Linked DNA regions of Coturnix japonica. The protein of the gene in region 2 interacts with the protein of the main gene of each other region in a biochemical or structural test. Links are inferred from orthologs where the notes say so. Each region holds a gene or a part of one and is shown on either strand. Other genes may lie near its edges.

Region 1 (3,645 bases), on a different chromosome or scaffold from region 2:
ACAGCAAGGAAGAAGAAAACAAGTCATTAGTGGCAAGAAAGGCTGGTGAGAACCAGCAGGTGTCCCAGAGCTGGTCAGAGATGCTCCAGAACTCCAGAGGAGGGACTTATCCATCCTTCCAACACCTGTTTAAGCTTTAAGCTCCATCACCGTGAATGGGGGAAAGCAGCCCCCTTCTATACATACTAAACTTCACACTGAACCAATGAGCCACACAGACTACACCAAGTTTGATCCCTCCCATGTCTCAGGTAAGAACAACCCACTCATGCAGCTGCTGTGTGTCTCCTCAGAGGCCTTTTTCCTCCGAAGGCTCTCACTTACTCAAAGCTGGAACTCAGCACTGGCTGACATACTCAGACATGTGGTACACACTTGCTGCTGCCACAGTGCTCCTGGCTCTAACTGCTGGTGTGAGGAGCAAGAGCCTCACTGATCTACCCTGCTGCCTTCCATCTGCTTGGCCCAAGGCATCGTTTCGTGGAATAAGGTTGTGCTGTGCTCTGACTGCAGGCTGAGGACTGAACACAGATCTGTACCACACGTACTTCTCTGGTTTGAGGTCTCTGTATATGATTCCCAGGCTGTGCAAATGGTCAAGTCCTAGAGCGAGCTCTGCAAGGTAGAACTTCACATCCTCCTCTGTGAACATGACCTGCAGGAATGGATGGGGGTTATAATCCTGGAAGCATGACAAGCAACACCCTTCACACCCATGTTGTGCCTTTGTGCCCTTTTAAATCTAAGTTTCTGAGGCTTTGCCAGGAGACATGACATCCTGACATACCCTCCTTTGGGCTAGCAGCAGTTTGGAGGCTCCTTTCAGCTCTCTCAAGGACTTTCTGAGGGTTAGTTGTTCCTCCAGGCAATTAACACACAAACAGAGAGCCTCAGCAACCCACTAAGATGCCACAGTATACCCACCTCTTTGGAAAGCCGAGTGAAAAGGTCACCTCCTCGGAGGAAATCCAAGATGAGATACAGCTTCCCCTCTGTCTGGAATGCTGAAACACAAGCCAGAGCAGGAATCAGACCCCTCCACTGAGGGAAAGCTCGATAGTGTGACATTAATCACTTAAATTCCAATGGCTTCAGTTGTGCAAATGCCCTGCATTATTGCTAGGATTCAAGTAGGGTAACTATTCAAGGTAGATCAGATCTCCTGCCTATGATACTGAAAAGGATGCAATCCCCTGGCAGTGCAGAAAAGCATCATTTTATGTGGGATTTGTTCCTTTTCAGCCATTGATGCCCTGCTGGATGGGCTGTTTCTCAAGCAATACACTGGTCAATTTACTGGGGCAGAAGCTGTCCTCAACTTCCTCAGAGTGAGAGTGTTCATCCTGCCATGCTCTGACTTGAACAGTTAACTCAGCTTTCTCAGTTTCTCCTGAATTAGTGTTTTAATCCCAAGGATTTGACGTTTTAAACCTCCTCTCCTGGTGCCCCACTCAAGGGTGAACACAAGACCAAAGGCCTTTCCAGGAAAGGATTTGTTTTAAGGGGATTGTGAATGCTCCAGCACAGCACAGCCACTGAGAGACATGGACTGACACAGGCTCTGCCACTGCAGGTGCCCAGGACCATGGCAGACACACCTGTCCCAGCCAACCCCGTACTCACCATAGTGCAGCTTCACCACAAAGGGATGGTTTACATCAGCTAGGATGTCCCTTTCTATCTTTGTCCTTACACGATCACGCACTGTGGGAAAAGAGAGGAACAGTTCAGATGCTGGAGAAAGATCAAAGCCGTGATGTCAGCTTCACCCCTAGCCCTAAGCCTTCTGGGATCAGGCAGCTGGAGCCAGATCTTTCCAATCTCCATCAACCCAGGGCCAGCAGTGACTGGTGGTGACCTTTTTGCAGTGCCATTTCCCATGAAGCAATAGGACACAGCAGTAAGGCTCCCTTACCTTTCAGTGTTGCCTTTTTGAGCACTTTCATGGCATAAAGGTGGTTGCTGTCTGGTGGTGTTATTTTCCTCACCAAGAAAACCTGAGGCAGAAGAACACACAAGCTGGTTTTAAACAGCTTCAAAAGTCCTTTATTCATTGCAACAAAGCTGCTGCTGCACATGCACAGCACCCCTGCTGCACCACCCCTTGCTGTGGTGATGGCTGACTGACGTGAAGTTGAAGACAACATGGGAGCAGATGGTCTGCAAAAGACCTAGCTTGTTTGCACTTTGAAACAGATACAAATTACAGGCTATTTCCTTCCTCCTTCACAGAAGGGAAGCAGCAAATAGGCCAAACCCAGTCCCTGGCACACAGCATCACCGTGAGAAGAGAGGCATGCCCCAGCCCTCTGCCCCACACAGCACTGCATGCTTCTTTCCTCCTGACCAGCTGCATAAAGACCTCCGGGTAGAGCTGGCACACTGACGTTGATGAGAAGTGTCTCCGCAGCTGCCCTTCAAACTAGAAGCAGCCAGTTGCTAAGTGAACATATCAGATTCTCACCGGATACGGTCCGGTGAGAATCAGGAAAGAGGTTACGCTGGGGACAGTCCCTTTTTCAGCTCTTCTTTCAACACCACTTATCTGTGTGACACGCAGGAAGAGCTGAGCTCACCTTGCCAAAAGAACCCTGTCCCAGAACCTTCAGAAGCTCAAACTGCGAAGGGTCGGCTTTTTCAAAACCTTCCTTCACATGGTGTGTGATGTTGATTTCCTTCACAACACCCTCACCCTGGAAAAGAGAGGACATGGTTGGCTGTGAATATACTGAACAAGGGGAAAAAGGTCTTATTGAGTCAAAGAGCAAGGTCTACAGCTGCAGACTCACAGGAACCACATCTGACAGAGCCATAAAAGCAGGTGCATGTCGCAGCTACCTCCTGGCTTCAACACCTGGAACAAAGCAGTCCCCAGTGGGTTACCACCAGGCAGCACCATTACATCCCCACACTCTCCCCGGCACCAGAGGTGTTGCGTTCCTTTGAACTGCATTTCAGAAGAGTTCTTGAAAGCACCTTCCTTTTTAAGGCACTGGTGGCAAAAACAGGAGTGTTTATGCCACTAAAAATCCCACAACACAAAAATATGGTGGTGTTGTCAAAACATGGCCAGGGCTGGCAAAAATCAGACATGTTGGAGCCCATCTGCTCAGCAATCTGAGCAACTCTGCAACATAAGCCTTGGTGCATCTTCAGCACATACAGATGATGCTTTTAACAGACTCAAGCCTTCAGAAAGATTGAGGGGAAGCCAAGGTCTCTGGCACATGTTTTGTTTAAAACACATTCTTTTACTAGTTACTAGTTAGATTTTCCCCTTGCCGAGTAGGGGAGAAATTAGTGAGAAAATCAGACTTCGTTTTCTAGAGCTACTCAGATACTCACTGCGGAACCCACCTAATCAAAGCTTTTAGAAAAAAACAGGAACCAAGCTGCAGGCTCTGCCCTGCGCACACTGAGCTCCCACCCTCACTCCTCCTCACACAGCACACGGATGTGGTTGCTGCCTGCAGCACAGCATTGAGCACCCTTCCTTTCCCACTCCTGTGCTTGTCTTTTCTCTAGTAGAGCTTTGCTCCATGTCTGTTGGTAGCTTTGCTCTCTCAAGATCCCATGATATCCAGACACTCAGATCTGTCAGAGACCCATGCACAATACAGCCTGAGCACATAGAGAGGGTGGTGA
Region 2 (4,338 bases):
AGAATCAACAAAACAACGGACATCAAAACAGCATATAAGGCAGCACCTTCTGTTTTGTAATATGGACAAAATGGACTGAAAGCTAAAAGAACAGCATGGTATAGGTAGTAAGAGACAAACACATTCTTCTTCCAATAATTCCCTCTGGTAAAAGCGATCCAAATCTAGGAAAAAGGCAGCATGCCACCTCTGTATTTCCTTTGCTAAGTCTGTGCAATATATGCTCCAAATCCAGGGAAGCCACTTATCAGTTAAAAAAAAAAAAAGACCATTGAAATGGATCCTAACTCAACAGATCTCAGAGGCAAAAAAAAGCACATTCAGAGTTAATTCACAACAGAGATTATGTCAGAAACATCTAAAAGAAGACTCCACAGCCAGCTCTAACCCAACAGATTCAAGCCTAAGGATCAGCTAGCCAAAGAACAGTGTAAAATATCCAAGATATATGAATAGGGATTTGCTTTTCCCTCCAAGTCACATCAGAGAAAACATGGGTTTCAGGGTCAAAGCTCCTGTACATGCAGCTTGAGGAAGGAGGGAAGTGACAAAAAACTTAAATCCTCAGAGACATGCACGTACGTCAGCTACCACCAGTGCCAAGCATGATCAGCAGCCTCGCCTGACCAAGCTAACAAGCTTAACAGAGCTAACAAGACTGGATCAATGCCAATCAGCATTAGAGAAATCATGTGCCAGGCCAGAGACGCAGCTAATCCACAGGAAGACTGTAAAAAACACTCCACAAGAGCTGCCGGAACTCACAGCTACAGGCTGCCAAAGGCTCCTACCATTAGAGGCTTTTTAAAACTTGGCTTTGGGATATCGAGCACAAGACTGCTGCCCAGCATGGTTTGGGGATAACAGAAAAGAAAGGAGAGCAGAGCGCAAACTCTGTTTGCATGAGCAATGCTAGCCTGGAACGGGGAAAAAGGGAAGGGCAGCTTCCTTTGCTGCAGGTTCCAATTGTTCACTCAGCACGGCCTCGAAGCTGGGCAGCAGAGCTAGCCAAAAGTAATGAGCATAAGAGAAGAGCATCAGCAAGTTACTGTACATCTGAGGAGAAAAGCCATTACCTGCCTTTCTATTGCAGGTAAATAGGAAAACCTAAAGGAAGAAAAAAACAAAAGACTTCTGTTCTACAATATAAACTACAGCATAAAATTCTCTGGTGCCACTAAGGGTGGTTTGCCTGCAGCTCAGCTGTCATTCACCTCTACAAGAAGCACCCAGGCATTTACAAATCAGGACTCGCATCAGAAATAGTACAAGAGGAGGCATAGAAGAAAGACTTGCACACACAAATTAGAGTTTGGCTAACTGGGAGAATGTTGAGAAGCTCCACAGCAGGACTCCAGCTTGGAAGAGAGAAGAGAAAAACAGGGCTTAGAGAAACTGACACAACACAGCTGAACATGAACACTCGGACCAACAGAAAGCAGAAAGAGTCGGATTTGCAGCAACATGGAGCAGTAGCTGTGATTAACAAGGCATTCTAACAAACAACGCTTTCCAAATCAATAGAGCTAACATTGCTTTGGCAGCCTGCTATGCTTTGCTTTACATATATATATATATATATATATATATATATATATATATATATATATATATATATATACACCAAGAAGCATAATAATTCAACAAAGTCTTTTTGTAGTAATAAATTAAACACAATGGGACAGATGCCTGTCTCAGCACAGCAAACATTCCTCCAAAGCCGCACTTTGCCTTCTTTTACCCTCTATTTGCTTTAACAGGGTCCAACACATTAACCTCTGCACATTCATGACATAGTCACTCGTACCCAGAAGCCAGCAGAAGCTCCTGCTCCTTTCAGAAATGCAATTCTGGAGCACGAAAACTAGAATGAGTATTTGTGAAAAAGGCAAGAGCCCCCTCTGCCAGATCAGCAGCTTTCCCAACACCCTGATATTGCTCCTGCAATATATATGGAAACAGCGACAGGAGCTCAGGTGGCCTGGGTTGTACCTCTGAATGCTAGTGCAGACAAAGACACAACCTGCGGCTTCTGCTACCACCAGCAAATCAGAGCCTCCATTTATACTTTATCTGTATTCCCATACGTGTGTGTGTCAGCTCCTGGCCAGGCAGCACCAGACTGCTGCCAGAACTGAAGGTCAGTTCCAAAGGGCTGCTGTGGGTATTGAAGCACGGCAATGACCGGCAGCACACTGCCTCTGCCACGGGCTGCAGAGCAGGTCAGACATAGAGCTGACAGCAGGGTATGGCCTCAAGACCAGCCCCTGTTACTGTCAGTACTGCATCCACCATCCTCCAAGAGTACAATTGGCTGTAAAGTTGCACCTACTGGAAACAGGAAACGTGCCAAGCTTCATTAACTGTCCTGTAGAGGCGCTGACCAGCAGCAATGAGGTCCCCACATCCCAGGCATCTCCAGACTTCTTCACCTGTATACAGGAATAAGGCCACATCAACAACCGTTTTACATCAAAGAAAACAAGGATTGCTCCATGCCTGATAAAGAACAGCCCTGAATTACACCAGGCAGACCATAAGCGCCAATGTTTAGAGTTCCCAAATTGGACTCTAATATCCTAAACCCCTGTTTTTTTCCCTCCAGACCTGACACCATCATGTGCTCCTTCACATTCTGCAGGAGAAAACAAGGTTACCTTTCACAGGAGATGGCACCGTTAGAGCTGCACCACTGCTCAGAGCAGAGATTTCAGGTGGAGATGGGCCAAGTGTGACAATCCCTACAGGGAGCCACGCTGTGCCAGGAAGCCACGTTACCATTCCCCTCCTGCCACTGACTCAGCACATAACATTTGTGCACTTTTGGGTGATTAAATGGATTTCCCAGAACAGGAAGAAAGACAAACCTTATTCAGCAGAGAACAACTTGGCCACCAGGAAGGAATTACACACTCAGAAGGATATTCCTGCAGAGTCTGTATGACCAGCACTGCACTGCAGCCAGGCTTAGCAAGAGGAGCAGCTGCCACTGCCTGCTGTGCCTTCAGAAAATGCCAGCAATGGTCAAGAAGTCCTAAAGCCCCAGAAACGGGCAGGATGCATAAAGACTGGGAAAGAAAAAAACAGTACAAAGAATCTAGCACTAATTTGGCACAGAGAAATGCTATCTGAGAGCCAAGCTGCTGTTTGGGCACATCTAAGAGAAAGCCGAGGATGTGGATGAGCGCAGGATGGCACAAAGGACATGTCGTGCTGCTGGGCACTGATCTGCTTCCTTCTGCTACTGCAAGCTGGCTGCAAGAGAGATGTGTAAGGAAAGAAACGCGCTTAGAGAAGGAAAACCACTAACCACAGACTTACAGTTTCTAAAGAGCGTTAAAACCCAGCAGTTGCTCAGTAATTGCCCCTTCTGTCTGAGGCTTTTCTCTGCAGCTTCACCCTGAAATGTCAGGTAGCTCTTACATGGACCAAATAACTGCTCCCACCGAAGGGAGCTGCCCTCACTGCCCTGCCATCACTGCGCTACAGCAGCTGCCTGCTGCCGGGGGGGGAAGCTGCAGAGGATGGAGAGCTCAGCGCTACGAGGGACGCCTGTCCGTGAGCACGATGCTGCCCTCACCCACAGCCTGTAAGTGCGATGCTTTAAGTTCAGAGCGTGCTGCTGCCTGCGGGGATCAGGCACAGCCACGGGGCTCCGCGCTCAGCGGGACAGGGCAGCGCTCAGTGACTGCGAGCAGCGGGCAGAGACCGGCGCACGGAGCGGCTCAAGGACGCGGAGGGCCCAGAATCCCGCAGCGCCGCAGCCGGTATCTCGGGGCCCGACCCCGCAGCTCCGCCCGGCAGTCAGGGCAGGAAGCGGCGCGTTCCGCCGCAGGCCCCGAGCGATGCGCAGCGCCCAGCACACCCGGTACACCCAATACATCCAGCAGCGCCCCGCCCGCCCCGCGTCTCTCACCTGCCGGCCCCGCCATGGCCGCTGTCCCGTGACGTCACGGCCGCGCCGCACCTGGGCCGCGTTCCCGCCGCCGTCCCGCCGTCCCGCCAGCAGCCGCTCGGCGCCGCGCCACGCCCCGGGGGAGGCCCCGCCCCCTTCCTCGCCGCAGGCCAATCGGCGCTCCGCCTCCCTCACGGATACGAGCCAATCGCCGTGCTCCGTCGGAGGGAGCGAGCCCGCCCTTTCCGCGGTGGGAGCCAATCGCGGCGCGGCCACGCCCTCAGCCCCACTCTCCACACGCGGCGGGAGCGCGGAGTCCGCCGGTCCCGACCCGCACCCTGCCCAGCAGCTCCTCGGCCCGGTGCATCACCGTCCGCCGAGCACAAAGAAACGGCAGCGCACTCCCGTCGATATAAAACCTTTTTTTTTTTTTTTTTTTTTTT
Region 3 (3,645 bases), on a different chromosome or scaffold from region 2:
CTGGCTTTCTTTTCCTTATTAGAATGATAGTGTCATCCTCCTGTGCTCTCTGCTTGACTAACAAAAGTGTGAAGTATGATCATACTAACACCAAAATCTCAAATCACCAGAATTGCTTCTCATTTAGATACTGATCAATTGAGAGCCTCAATCAAACAAACAAACACCAACACATTCTAAGAACAAAATCAAAACACATTTTAGAAACACACATGGAATGTCCTTGTAATATATATTAGAGGTCCTACCTGTATGAAATACTAACATCAGATGTACAACTGCAGTAAAAGTAAGAGGCATGTGGAAAGAAGAGGGCAAAAAATGAAGGGAAATGAAAGGTTGGTAAAGTAGAAATAAAGAGGTCAGGAGTACAGAAGACAAAGGGAAAGACTGTAAGAAGTTCCAGTAATTATGATATTTTAATTAACAGTGATAGAGTTATAGCTGATTGATTTGCCATGGCTTAGTAAATTTCTGCCCCCAAAATCAAAGTGACATTTTGGACAAACAGAAGCTTAAAAATTTACAACTACAAAAGGAAAACTGGAAACAATGCACCATATGAGGCACACAAAGAAGGATCATACTCCTACCTATAAACTTTCCCAGATCTAGCAGACGGTGTCACACTGACTTAATATTAATTTTAAGGAAACAGGGAAGATGTTACCAGATGGAGGCAAGCGACGAGGGTTTATTTTTTCCAGCATATTACAAAACAGTCATTTTGCTGAAAATGGTGAAGAAGGTGCTTACTATTCCTATCTAGGGATATAGAAACATGAACATACTGATTATACGCTGCAAATAATGAGGGGTGGGAAATCACTAACTGGTGTTATCAGTGGGCCTCCAAATACAACGTATGCAGCTGAAACTCTATGGGAATTACCAGCTTATATTTGGTATTCTTCTTTCCTGTCAGAATACCACACTCTGGTATGCATTATAGACATTTTGACAGTTTGGTGAGGTTTTTCCTTCCACACAGACAACTGCTGCTGCTTTTCATAAAAATGCTACATTACTATGACTAAAAGCAAGATCAAGGCAAGTTTGCATTCAAGATATAAAATGCAATCAAGACATCATGGAAATATGCTGGCCCTCTACTGGATTCACTCTACACTGCAAACTGTAGTTATTACACTCAAACACCAGCAGTGACAGCTATAAAGATATTCCTTCCACAAAAATGGAAATTTATAGTAGTACTGTGCCATAAAGCAGAGGTTTGATGCAAGAAGGAATTAGGAGACTAAGTATGAGATGCTGAACCATGAAACTGAAAAATACACTTAAAAATAGAAGTAGAAATGTGACATGGAAAGACAGTAGGATGGTATTCTCAAGAAGGTAGTGACCTATTTGAAAGACTGGAAGACTGGACCTTCCAAAACTACACATATGCACAGACACACCTACTTCAAATACGCTTTCCTCTTACCTGAAAGATTTCCATCGATTTCATCTGGCTGTAGACTAGAAACGCTGCTAGAATCCATTCCTTGCTGGAGATCCAAAATTTTCCTTCGTAGTTGTTCTATGTCACTCTCTTTACTATCCAGCTGCATCTGTAGCTCATTCCTGTATGTTGACTCTTCTGCTAGTTGCTGTATTTGTATACACATACAATGTCACCATGGTATCAGAAATAAGGGAACAAAGTATTTAAAAACAACACCTTACTAGTTCTTTTTTCATGAAAATCTCTCAACACTTTTGATAGCATTGACATAAATTATTATTGTAAAAGTGTTCCTAAAGTCTAGGAAAGAAGTTTGTGATCAAAGATACAGCAATGTGTTGAAACAGAAAATGTTAATAGAACTTTCACCAACAAATTTAATCTTCCAGAGAAAAACCATAAGAATACTGTATTACACAATATTCAGCTTTCATAATGTACCAATCATCACATTCACAGTTACCAACTGAGAATGGGGAAATGAATGAGAACAAACACAGCTGCACTAAAATTCTGCAGTCTGATACATCAGCAACAGAACTCCTTTACACAAGTGCACAAGGAGCTGCATGTTTTCCCGGGGCAGAGAACTTCATAATGTAACAAAAATGAAGGTTTTTTTACCGCTTGCATCTCATTAACCTCCTTCTGGTATTTCACCACCATCTGATTGTATTTCTCTTTTTCTTGATTAAGCTCCAGTTGTAGCTTTCGGTTTTCCTTCTCTTTCTTCCTCAAATCCTGCATGCTTGCTTTCTTTCTATCTATTTTAAAATCTTTTCTATTCATTATCTCAGCCAGTTTGTTGACAGCCTGTTATAAGAAAGAGAAGAAGAAGATAAGTCAGAAAAGTAACACACGAGAGCAAGTATCACATAAAGCTTCCAAGCTTATCTAGCTGGAGGATGTGCAAGTCCTCATGATCTAAGAACAGACTGGGAGAGGTGCACTTCAATAAATCATTGCAATTAATTCCAAAACTGAAAACATACCCCTGTGGGTACATTAAAACATGTACCTCAGTTAACGTATTTCTCACACTGACACCCAATTCAAATAGCCAAAATAGTGATAAGTGCTTGAAAAAGACAAACCCCTGCCCCATTCCAACTTCACCAATCATTTCCATCTGTCTTTAGAAAGTACTGATTTCCCAAAACCACAGAAATGCTGTTAGTTACTCACACTAGTAATAATCGCAAAAAGCACTCATAACCAATTTTACTTAAACTCTAAACATCAGGAATAGGTAGTACACATCATGATTAGCATGAAATTAACAGAAATCTCAAGCACTACGAGCTAGTTGCACAAAAAACCCAAACAAGCTGAAATATATCTGGTATGCAACATCGTTTTAACTTTATCCAGTTACATAAAAGTTATACCTGTGTCTTCAGAGTTCTCTCAGTGTTGATACTCTTCTCATATTGCATTCTAATATTGTTTATTTCTTCCTCTTTTTTCAGCTTGTATTCTGTTAAAGTAAGATTCAACTTTGAGATTTTAGGACAAAGTAAGCATCCCTAAGCTTAATCACATAAAACTGTACCATTCTAATTTCCCCTTATTCCTATTGCAGCTCAGTTATTCCTGCCTGCTGAAGCTGAGGTTTTAATTGTTCTCAACAATAAAAAGGCAGCGAATGGGAATGGAACAAATATGGTAGAGAGTGGCAATTCACACGCTATTTCAACATGACACATTTTCTATCAAGTCACTCCACCACTATGGAAGACACACAGGAATACTTTTCCAATGTCCAATTTTCATTTGCACACATACTTCACATTCATTTGTGCTTCATACCGGATGATTTAGAACTCCAAACATGACATACCTTCCTCCTGTTTCTTCATTTTTTCACTGATCTCTGTATTTTCTTTTGTTACTAAATCAACATCTTTGGTTAACGTGCTGTTAGTTTCTTCCAGCTAAATGAAAACAAATAGATTTTAAGACAAAGATCTTGCCATATTTGTAAGATCATTTCCTTCAATATCCTTAATCTGTAACAGCCTTTTACTTGGAATGTCTTCAAGGGTCCATTAAAAAAAAATGCTTTCTTCTCAAAACTGAACTGTAAATATGGTACTCTCCTTCTAAGCTGACTTGACATACCAGGAGGTCCGAGAATACAGTCTCACTAAGTGTCTTTTGAAAATCCTCTTTACAAA

Evidence for each region.
Region 1: the proteins of LIMK2 (region 2) and RPS6KA1 interact in a test that uses a peptide from one of them, tested with the Homo sapiens proteins (2 studies listed by BioGRID and IntAct). The link is inferred for Coturnix japonica from reciprocal best matches to the Homo sapiens genes LIMK2 and RPS6KA1.
Region 3: of the proteins of LIMK2 (region 2) and ROCK1, one has a biochemical effect on the other in vitro, tested with the Homo sapiens proteins (2 studies listed by BioGRID). The link is inferred for Coturnix japonica from reciprocal best matches to the Homo sapiens genes LIMK2 and ROCK1.

The regions. Positions count from the first base shown.
Region 1 is NC_029538.1:152,461-156,105, forward strand, and holds part of RPS6KA1 (ribosomal protein S6 kinase alpha-1), read right to left. Parts: intron 2,694-3,645; coding exon 2,577-2,693; intron 1,998-2,576; coding exon 1,916-1,997; intron 1,705-1,915; coding exon 1,624-1,704; intron 1,005-1,623; coding exon 925-1,004; intron 656-924; coding exon 549-655; intron 1-548. UniProt on the Homo sapiens protein: Serine/threonine-protein kinase that acts downstream of ERK (MAPK1/ERK2 and MAPK3/ERK1) signaling and mediates mitogenic and stress-induced activation of the transcription factors CREB1, ETV1/ER81 and NR4A1/NUR77, regulates translation through RPS6 and EIF4B phosphorylation, and mediates cellular proliferation, survival, and differentiation by modulating mTOR signaling and repressing pro-apoptotic function of BAD and DAPK1.
Region 2 is NC_029530.1:8,042,428-8,046,765, forward strand, and holds the start of LIMK2 (LIM domain kinase 2), read right to left. Parts: upstream 2,804-4,338; 5' UTR 2,782-2,803; coding exon 2,658-2,781; intron 2,433-2,657; coding exon 2,333-2,432; intron 1-2,332. UniProt on the Homo sapiens protein: Serine/threonine-protein kinase that plays an essential role in the regulation of actin filament dynamics. Acts downstream of several Rho family GTPase signal transduction pathways.
Region 3 is NC_029517.1:92,202,666-92,206,310, forward strand, and holds part of ROCK1 (rho-associated protein kinase 1), read right to left. Parts: intron 3,403-3,645; coding exon 3,309-3,402; intron 2,946-3,308; coding exon 2,857-2,945; intron 2,282-2,856; coding exon 2,093-2,281; intron 1,614-2,092; coding exon 1,448-1,613; intron 279-1,447; coding exon of another isoform or gene 148-278; exon of another isoform or gene 1-147. UniProt on the Homo sapiens protein: Protein kinase which is a key regulator of the actin cytoskeleton and cell polarity.